Linked DNA regions of Daphnia pulex. The main gene of each other region encodes a partner of the protein of the gene in region 2 in a complex. Links are inferred from orthologs where the notes say so. Each region holds a gene or a part of one and is shown on either strand. Other genes may lie near its edges.

Region 1 (2,346 bases), on a different chromosome or scaffold from region 2:
TTCACAATCATCGGGGGTTGGCTCTTGAGCAACTACGGCGATTTGGTCTGTAACGGAAGTTTGTCGGCAGCACTATTTTTCGGCGCTGCTCTATCGCTGTTCATCCGTTCGGATCTCAGACGCCAAAGAGCCAACCAGATGGAAGCGTTTCGAGCAAACGAAGCTATCTAAGTGTCATCAATCGACTCTCTGAGCTTCACCAGTAAGAGCTTTGCCTGTCTCCAAGAGATGCCACATTTGCCTCACGCAATTTCGAACAAGTTGATTTGCTTATTGTTATAGATATGTAGTTAGGTAAACTTTGTGTCACTGTATTATCTGCCATTTCAAAATGTTGCTTCCTTCAATGTGATTGGCTGCTGCACAAAGTTTGCGGCTATACCGTGAATCCGTTACGACGATTTCAATGGGGGAAAAAAAAGTAAAGTGATTGATAGTTATAGACTGTATGTATACTTATATATATAGCTTATAGCCTCTCTCTTTCGGTTCCGGTCTAAAAGAGTTTACATTTCTGTGTTATTACTAATGTAGTAAAATTGCTGTCTTCCGTACAATGCAGGGAATGGAAAGCAAAGTTCAAACCCAAGTTAGCTTCATTACAGAGTATTATGCATTCGATTCTTTATGAGCCTTTGACGTTAAAGTTGTTTTCACTTTTCACCACGACCCATTTTAAACTGACCAAATCATTTGGTTTGGATGATGTGACAGTTAACAATTATTGCGCCAAATAAAATCTAATGCCACCACGTTCACGTTTTTTTTTTCACCAATAAAAAAGAAGGGTGTGAAACCCCTCCCCCGAAAAAAAAGGTGGGATCCCCATCAACTACTATCACTTTGCTATTGTGGGCTTGCCACAACATCAAATTTTATTATTTAAAAAAAAATACTTAGCTTATTTCCCAAAAGGGGTTTGGGGAGTGAATTTTATCACTGATATGAACAAAGAACAAAGTTCATGAAATAAATTACCTCTTACTATGAGTACGAGGTTATAAATTATAAATTATAAATCTTGACAACAATAAATAATTTGTTTATTTATCGGCAATTCGCAATTCGATTTGGCGCTTCGAACTTGGTCTACGTTACCACGACTTGGCAACGCTTTTTTCTAAACAGCTGACGAAAAAGCATGGGCGGAAGTATGTTGGAAAAAGGGGACGACATTAATCGAAGCAACATTTTTCAACGGGTAATTTGCGATTGTTAGAGGTAAAATTCCATCACTATGATTATTATCTAACATTCTCAAGTTACATGATGCTTGATTTCCCTTGCAGATATAAATGGTGGCATTTTAAACTCTGTATTATGGTACGAAGTTTTTGAATGAGAAGACATTGATCTTACGAAGTTATCAAAATGTTGATGTTCTGTCCCACGTGTGGAAATCTTTTGGGTGTTGAAGAAGGACCCAAGTGTTTCCGATTCTCTTGCCGTACTTGCCCTTACGTATTCAACATTAATCGAAAAGTTAGCAGCAAATCATTCCCCAAACTTAAGGAAGTGGATGATGTATTAGGAGGAGTTGCTGCCTGGGAGAATGTGGATTCCACTGAAGCAACTTGTCCCAAGTGTGACCATTCAAGAGCTTACTTTTTGCAGATGCAGACACGATCTGCAGATGAGCCTATGACCACCTTTTACAAGTGCTGCAACCACGAGTGCTCCAACCTGTGGCGTGATTAGACACAACCTGCCTTCAAACCCCCACTTTCTTTTTTTCATGTTAAACTCAACTCATTATCGCCTTTAAAATTGTCAAATGATCAACCCAGTCATCCTCCTTGGGCCCAAGAACTCCGCAGCCATCCTAAAAAATGCAGTGGAGCTTCTGAAATCGGGCAGTGTGATTGCTCTTCCAACAGACACTTTATATGGGATCGCTTGTCTGTCCCAAAGTTCAGAAGCTTTGAAAAAACTTTATCAAATCAAATCGCGAGACAAGAATAAACCGGTTGCTATTTGCGTGTCGCAAGTTAGCGAAATCGCCAAGTGGGGACACGTTACAGTAGATGAACGTCTACTGCACGACCTTTTACCTGGACCCGTCACCCTTGTGTTCGAAAGAAGTCCTGCCTTGAATCCTGAACTCAACCCCGGAACTAAACTTGTTGGCATTCGAATTCCGGACTCTTGGTTCATTCGTCAACTGGCAAATAGCTGTGCTGAACCTTTAGCGTTGACTAGCGCCAACATCAGCGGATCTCAGAGTACTCTATCGGTGGAAGAATTTCTAGGGATTTGGGAGCATCTCGGGGCTGTCTTCAACGGTGGCCCTATTCCAGACGGCTCTACCGCTCGACTAGGATCTACTGTTGTCGACTTGTCGTCACC
Region 2 (4,390 bases):
TATATAGTATCTAAAATATTTGCTGCAACATTCTTTGACTGTTTGACGTGTAAAAATGACTGACGTGTAAAACTTGATTTTAAAGCAGTAAACAAACTCTTCAGACGATTGTAATAAGCTCCTCCCCTTTCTTTTGCTGTATCGGTTTACGCAACCAGGATGTTTATAATCTACGATCTAATCTTAAAATCAGTTCTAGCAGACGGTTGCCTAACCTATCATTGATAACACAAAACTGAGTTCGTGGCAAAAACAACCAGAAAAACTTATATGAGGATGTATCGTTTCCGTATTTTATTATTAACACAAACAATTTTACAAGAAAAAAAAAAACAGTCGCATGAAAAAGCTTAGAGTAGATCAGTAGATCCAGGTTCCAGGATTAAAAAGTGTACATATTTTCATATTAATAAAAAATCCTTTCGAAATTTTATATTCCAGAGGGCTTGTGAAAATGTGGATGAGGCTTGCAGTTATTTTTGTTGGTACGGTTTGAGATTTCTACGTACAAATCAAAAGTAGAAAAGAGATACAGTTACTTTCGCCAGTCAACCATTTCATTTTTCGACAAGAGCACGAACTGAACAATCAAGGTCAAAACAATGAAATGAACAGCGAGACTGTTGCAGGGTAGAAAAAGTGTACTAGAAGATTTTTAATATCCGCTTTTTCATGTTCAACTGCGATTACTTCTTAACGTCATTTCCACTGTCTGAGCTGCACGAATCTTGTCGAGAGCGTCGCCTTGTTCTTTTCTTTATTGTATCGGTGGGTTCCTTCTTCGGAGCTTTAAATTCGGCGACGTTGTAAAGTTGCTTCTGCTTAGCTTTATTCATCAATTCGCTGCGCCTAACCACTTCCGGATACCTGTTTTCGCAATAAAATGTCATTAAAACACAAAAATCATTGGAAAGGAATTGAAACGCACTTGTCAACAAAGGCTTGATCAAAAGGCAATTTGAATTCCCATCCGTCCTTGGTCTTGAAGGAAATTTGCTCCAGAATAACTTTCATTTCATCAGTAGGAATTTTAGTCGCAATAGTGACTGCTTCTCGGTTCACACAACGGTTTAGAGTAAACATGTACAACTATATCAAATCAAAACATAAATGTTAGAACTTTATGACAGTCGCCAGGAAAAAAACAAATCATCAGGAGGCTATTTACCACATAATCCCTGGCTTTGCTGATGATATCAGGATGAATTCCGGAAATTCCACACAATTTAACCGTTTTGTCTTTCTCTCCGCTCGGATAAAGGATTTCGCTCTTGACAACCCAGTTACCTTGGACCAACTCAGCCACCTGTTGCAGCGATTTCAGCGATTCCATTTTAACAGATTCCTGTTTGATTTCTAGGGTACTGCACAACTTACTGAACGAGATCAGCTTAACTATAGATAGAAATTGGTTATCGATGTGGTAATACTATTTCAACATTTAAGTTACCATTAGCCATGAGATTTTTAATTCTATCTACAAGTTGAGGCAGTTTAAGAATTTGAAACATTGACGCGTTTCCTAACGTAAGTTGTTTCTGAAATTCATCAATCTCTAGGCTAGGGCCAATCAAATCGCTGATGTATTTATCTTTTGCCATGGTTAGATTTTGAACTGTATCCGATTTTCCACAGATGAGACGGTTTTTTTCCAACTATACAAATGATCAAACAATAATTCTATTGATTATATAACCTTTAATACTGTGATATAAATACCATGGATTCCTCAGAATTTAATGAATAGAATTTGGTATTGTACCAGGGTTCTTCTGCATTCTTTTTTTGGAGGAACCCAAAAGACTTTTCTCTGAGGGCTTTGCTTCTGTCTGTTTCAGTTCGAGCAAATTTCACAGTGATTTGTTCAGCAACTTCTTCCTCATCACCTGACTCTATAAAATTCACAAAGAACTTTAATAAATTTGAAACAATGCTTCTGGCATTAAGAAATTAACCTGTTGGTTCATCAGTATCTTTTAGATTTTTTTCAGATTTGTCCAAGTATGGAAAGTTGGGTTTTACATGTAGAATTCCATGCAATGGATTGAGATGAAGTTCATTATCAACTACAATGCCAACTGCAAACCTTCCTGGATCCAAAAGTGCTTTTGTGGAAGAATAGGTGATTTTATCCATAAATGAACTTTCATGAAAGAAAGAAAACACTTATTATATTGTTGAAGTAAATATATTACGAACCAATCCTACCCGCTGAAAAAGTTCTGATGATCAGGTTTATCATATTTATTTTGTCCATCTGTATTAATAACAATTTGCTCAGCTTTGCTCCTATCATAATTTTGTGTATGTGTTGGTAATTCAAGCTCTAATTCAACTTCCTGAAGTTTAGGCTTAATCCTTGACTGAAATGTTTCACATTAATATTGAAATCGAGTTGCATGCAAGATATAATACTTACAGCAGCAACATGAGGTCTTTCCATTTCAACTGCAACAGAACGAAGTGGATATTGGAAAACATAGAGTTTCTGAAGCAAATTCTTTGACAAAAAGACTGGGATCTGTAAAAATCATAAACATGTGAGAACATTCACGCCGAATACAGCAACAACACCCAATTCCCACCTCTCTGACAACTTCATCATTCTCCTCTTCTAACTTTGACATTTTTTTTCAGATTCTAGACGCCAAATTATAAATTAGATATCACAAATCATAGATATCACTCCCACAACGTGGGAAAGCAAATTCTCTGCAGACAGCACTGCACAATATTATTCTTCAAATCGTGAAATGGGGAGGCAGTCGTCTGCTGGAAATGGGTCATATTAAATCCTATTTGATAAATCATCGAAATTATTTAATAGACACGAAATTTAATAAATGCTGTATGCATTTCTTCAGATTTTATAAACATATATTTATTTTTAAAAACCTATTTGGCTGGCTAACTTATTTTCAGTATGGCAAACAACAATTTCATTGGAGCTCATTTGACCTTGCTTTGAATAGGTTTAAAATGATTTTTTTTCAATTAAACTTAATAATCGGAATATGCCCTAACAAAAAATAGTTTCTTTAAAAAATCTTTAAAAAATGCATATGAATTCGTGGAAGGCTAACGAAAAAATACCTCGTGGCTAGACAGAGTTTGCTCATAGTTTATTTCTCTTTCTGAGAAAAAAGATTATCCCCTTTTAAATGAATTAAACAAATCCATTAACTTGAGGTTAGAGGAAGAGTAAGAAAACGTCTGAAAACAAAAAAGTGGAAGGAGGATGGGTTTGTACCCCGGAGTTATGACTGCAAATAGGGAGTTTTCTTTGTCCGAAAAATGGGGGGAAAGAGTATAAAAACCAACGTCGTCTAGGTTTTCTGTAGCAGAATTTCCCAGATTCTATCAGCTCACAGTCGAGTTCCAGTTAAGAATATCATCAAAATGGCCATGTCACCTACAAAAACAAGTGGAAAAGCAGCGAAAAAGGCAGGAAAGACTCAAAAGGGTGGTCTCAACAAGTCTGGTGAAAAGGTAAGAATTTCGTGTTATAAACTTTGAACGAGTTTGATTCACATCTTGTTTTCTTTAGACCAAACGTACCAAGAAGAGGAAGGAGAGTTACGCCATTTACATCTACAAAGTCTTGAAGCAGGTAAATGTTTTGTTTCTCTTCGTGATATTTTATAGTGTATAATCGTGTAATTACAATCGATGAAACTTTTCTGCAGGTACATCCCGACACTGGAATTTCGTCCAAGGCCATGACTATTATGAACAGCTTCGTGAACGACATTTTCGAGCGGATTGCCGGAGAATCTTCGCGGCTAGCCCATTACAACAAGCGTTCGACCATTACCAGTCGTGAAATCCAAACAGCTGTACGTCTCCTCCTACCTGGCGAGTTGGCCAAGCACGCTGTTTCGGAAGGCACCAAGGCTGTCACCAAGTACACCAGTTCAAAGTGAAAATGACTTCCGAGTGGGTCGACCACAATTCAATTTTTTTTATTAGACTATTTTTTTATATCTTCTATAATTATCTACATCGATCATAGCTGTATTCATTTGTCGTAGTGTTGTAAAACTTTTGAGGTGGGGAAATCACTATTCATCTTTGCTGATTCAAACAATGTGTGACTTGTGATTTATTATTACTATGTGATCATTCGCGCTACGTACATAAATTTTGAGTTGGCAATAATACATTACTTAATTTCACAATTTAAATTTGTTTCCAATGATTACTTGAATGAATATCGTTTGGATGGACAAATAGAAATGTTCAAATTTCAATGTTTGAAAATGGCGCCAATCCGCGCAAATTATACATCTCTTTCGAAGTTTGAAGTATAGAATTAAAAATAATCACGACTAAACGAATGTTTTCATGTATGGCAATTATTGAATAATATTATACATAAGCTTTATTTATA
Region 3 (2,635 bases), on a different chromosome or scaffold from region 2:
TATCTGTATTCTTTTTTTCCCGTGTGTCCCGAATTTTTTGTTGATAAACATTAGAAATTTCCTTAACGACTAAACATTGTTGCCAAACATCACAAAAACATCTGGGTGTGTCAATTTGTAGACATGTAAATCGCGGGTTTTTTTGTTAATAAGGAGGATAGGGAAGTAGTTAAACATAAAAGAAAAAACATTTCATGATAAACAGGCGCAAAAAAGAACGATTTCTAACGACTAGAAACTGATAATACAGGTTTCCCAACACAGATAATTTTTCCAGTTTTGACACAATAGTGGGAAATGGTTTTCTCTCCTCCGACACTTAATTGGAATTCTGGTAACGCACATTTTCTGCAATCGGGAACAGTTGTGTGCTTGTATCTGTTGACGTGTTTCAAATACTTAAAGATACCATTGGCTGAAAAATCAAAACTAGCTTCACAGCTCTGAAGGTCACATCCTATAACAGTGTAATCAGGAATCAAACCTGATGAATTTAATTTGGTAAAAAGGAACTGACTGTGAAAGTGAAGATCTGAATGATTGTGACAAACATCAGATTTGTTACAAGAGTGAATTCTCACTGCACATTTAGATGTAAAGAATACAACAATGGATTTCTTGCACTTTAAACACATTTCTTCACTGTGGGTTGGGTTTTTAATGGAATGCTGAGCCAAGTCTTCCAATGCAGTAAATAACTGTGGGCAGTCATAGCATCTATAGGGAAAATCTTTGACTGTATTGACTTGATTACTCAACCTATGATGAACAGCATCTGCTTCAACAATACTAGGTTGGTTATCCATTGCTCTATACAATTTTTTTTTACTTTGTTAGAATATAATTTACATCAACAGAAAATTTAGGATTATGCCTTGCCTGTATTCTTCACCTGTAGTTGTAATAGGTCTATGATTCTTGCTGATAAGCGATAAGATAACATATATATCTTTTATGGCTTACTATGGTGAATCAACCTTACGAAATAAACATGCCCACGAGGTAGATTAAGCAAAGAAAACCTTCAAATACTAAAGAGAGTAAATAGGGCACCTTTACCTTGCGATATTGCGGTGCGGTCGGCTTTTTTCTTTGAATAATCAAGGTAGCAATTGAAAGCAACGACATGATTTCAACATTGCAAACCTCATCCAAAGAGAATGTTTACCAATATTTAGCAGACAGCAATTACAGCGTTGCTTCCTCTTCGTGCCTTTAAAAACCACAAGATAATTTTGATCAAACGAAAATTACATAATACTTGCTGGATTATTTTCAAAATTTCTTTAAATAGATAGAATTGATAAAACTGAATTGAAATCGAAATAATTTTACCGCGGTTTCCAAATGACATCGTTGCCTACAACTGCAGCGTGAAGAAAAGTTCTCTAAAAAAACGTGCATTTTTTTCAAAACAATCTGCTCGTGTTTGGAATCTTCAAGCATTTCTGGCTACTGATCGTAATTGAAATGGAAATGTAAGCTAATTGTATAAATTTGTCCATGAACTTCCACTCAACCCCATTTTTTGTTTGTGTTACAGAATCGATGCAAACACGGCTATACTTAGCAATTTTGAGGTAGGTAAAACCTGTTTACTGGAGAATGTGTGGCTTTGAATAATTTATTTGTAATCTAACATTCTTCAAGGTTCTGGGACTTTTGAACAGTTCAAGAGTCAAAGGAGACCAAACCAGGAATCAAAGTGGGTCCTTAGCCACCATCACGTATGAAGTAAGGATTTTTTCAAATGATTTCAATGTGTATCTGCTTCGATTCACCAGTTTCTTTTTGCCTATAGGCCATAAAATATCTTGAAGGCACGCCAGCTGCAGTACAGTCTGAGGGTTGCTTCAAGAAATTTCTCGAGGATGTGAAAAAGTTTGGACTGACTAAAAAAGAGAAAACCATGATCTTGAATCTGAGGCCTAAAACTGACGTTGAAATATCACTGGTATAAAAGCTATGCATGCCACTAGAATTGTCCATGTCTTAATCAGTGATTCAAACCTTTTTAGATTGTCCAATCTACAGATCAGGAACGGTTGACTGAAGAACAAATTGAGGAGCTCATAGAACTCATTCAAAATACTTTGCCAGAATAAATTTGTTTTAACCCCGATTCTCATTTTCACGTTCGTTAAAAACTCAACTCTGAATGTAAACAAATTACTAAATCCGAGAAAGCATGAGATGACAGCGAAATGTTTCAATTGCCTAACCATTACACCATGTGCCCAACGAAACCACCGTTATCCATCAAGGTTTCTCGACAGCCGTTATTTTATCTTTATTTGTTTTTAGTCGATCAACATTCCTTCCAACATCCTAACCATTAACAGCAGGATAACGACGGAAACATTCGAAACACTTGACAGAAGATTCATTCCGGGGTGAACCAAACTTGATTCTAGGTTAGACATCACTTGAATAAATAAGATTGTCATTTTGGTTGCACATTTCTGTTCATTTATTGTAATGACGGGATCAAAATAAGATGGACAGAATCAATATGGAGAACATATTTTGTGTGTATATCGCCCGAGTGCTAACTCCTTGGAGGAAGAGTAAATGGTAAAGGGGGTCGGAGAGAAAAAAACAAAAAGACGTGGGAGATATTTCAGGACTTTTTTTT

What was found.
Region 1: DNA-directed RNA polymerase III subunit RPC5-like (region 2) and DNA-directed RNA polymerase III subunit RPC10-like share a complex: the UniProt entries of both Homo sapiens proteins name them as parts of the RNA polymerase III complex. The link is inferred for Daphnia pulex from reciprocal best matches to the Homo sapiens genes POLR3E and POLR3K.
Region 3: DNA-directed RNA polymerase III subunit RPC5-like (region 2) and DNA-directed RNA polymerase III subunit RPC9-like share a complex: the UniProt entries of both Homo sapiens proteins name them as parts of the RNA polymerase III complex. The link is inferred for Daphnia pulex from reciprocal best matches to the Homo sapiens genes POLR3E and CRCP.

The regions. Positions count from the first base shown.
Region 1 is NC_060019.1:12,453,287-12,455,632, forward strand, and holds DNA-directed RNA polymerase III subunit RPC10-like, read left to right. Parts: upstream 1-1,371; coding exon 1,372-1,698; downstream 1,699-2,346. Other genes in the region: feline leukemia virus subgroup C receptor-related protein 2-like, read left to right, coding at 1-171; yrdC domain-containing protein, mitochondrial-like, read left to right, coding at 1,775-2,346. UniProt on the Homo sapiens protein: Core component of RNA polymerase III (Pol III) which synthesizes small non-coding RNAs using the four ribonucleoside triphosphates as substrates. Can mediate Pol I proofreading of the nascent RNA transcript.
Region 2 is NC_060017.1:5,953,685-5,958,074, forward strand, and holds DNA-directed RNA polymerase III subunit RPC5-like, read right to left. Parts: upstream 2,785-4,390; 5' UTR 2,628-2,784; coding exon 2,586-2,627; intron 2,522-2,585; coding exon 2,420-2,521; intron 2,364-2,419; coding exon 2,209-2,363; intron 2,144-2,208; coding exon 1,956-2,143; intron 1,893-1,955; coding exon 1,720-1,892; intron 1,656-1,719; coding exon 1,451-1,655; intron 1,396-1,450; coding exon 1,169-1,395; intron 1,090-1,168; coding exon 929-1,089; intron 868-928; coding exon 687-867; 3' UTR 540-686; downstream 1-539. Other genes in the region: histone H2B-like, read left to right, coding at 3,400-3,489, 3,548-3,610, 3,687-3,923. UniProt on the Homo sapiens protein: DNA-dependent RNA polymerase catalyzes the transcription of DNA into RNA using the four ribonucleoside triphosphates as substrates.
Region 3 is NC_060023.1:11,613,648-11,616,282, forward strand, and holds DNA-directed RNA polymerase III subunit RPC9-like, read left to right. Parts: upstream 1-1,470; coding exon 1,471-1,478; intron 1,479-1,543; coding exon 1,544-1,580; intron 1,581-1,650; coding exon 1,651-1,734; intron 1,735-1,801; coding exon 1,802-1,954; intron 1,955-2,018; coding exon 2,019-2,105; downstream 2,106-2,635. UniProt on the Homo sapiens protein: DNA-dependent RNA polymerase catalyzes the transcription of DNA into RNA using the four ribonucleoside triphosphates as substrates.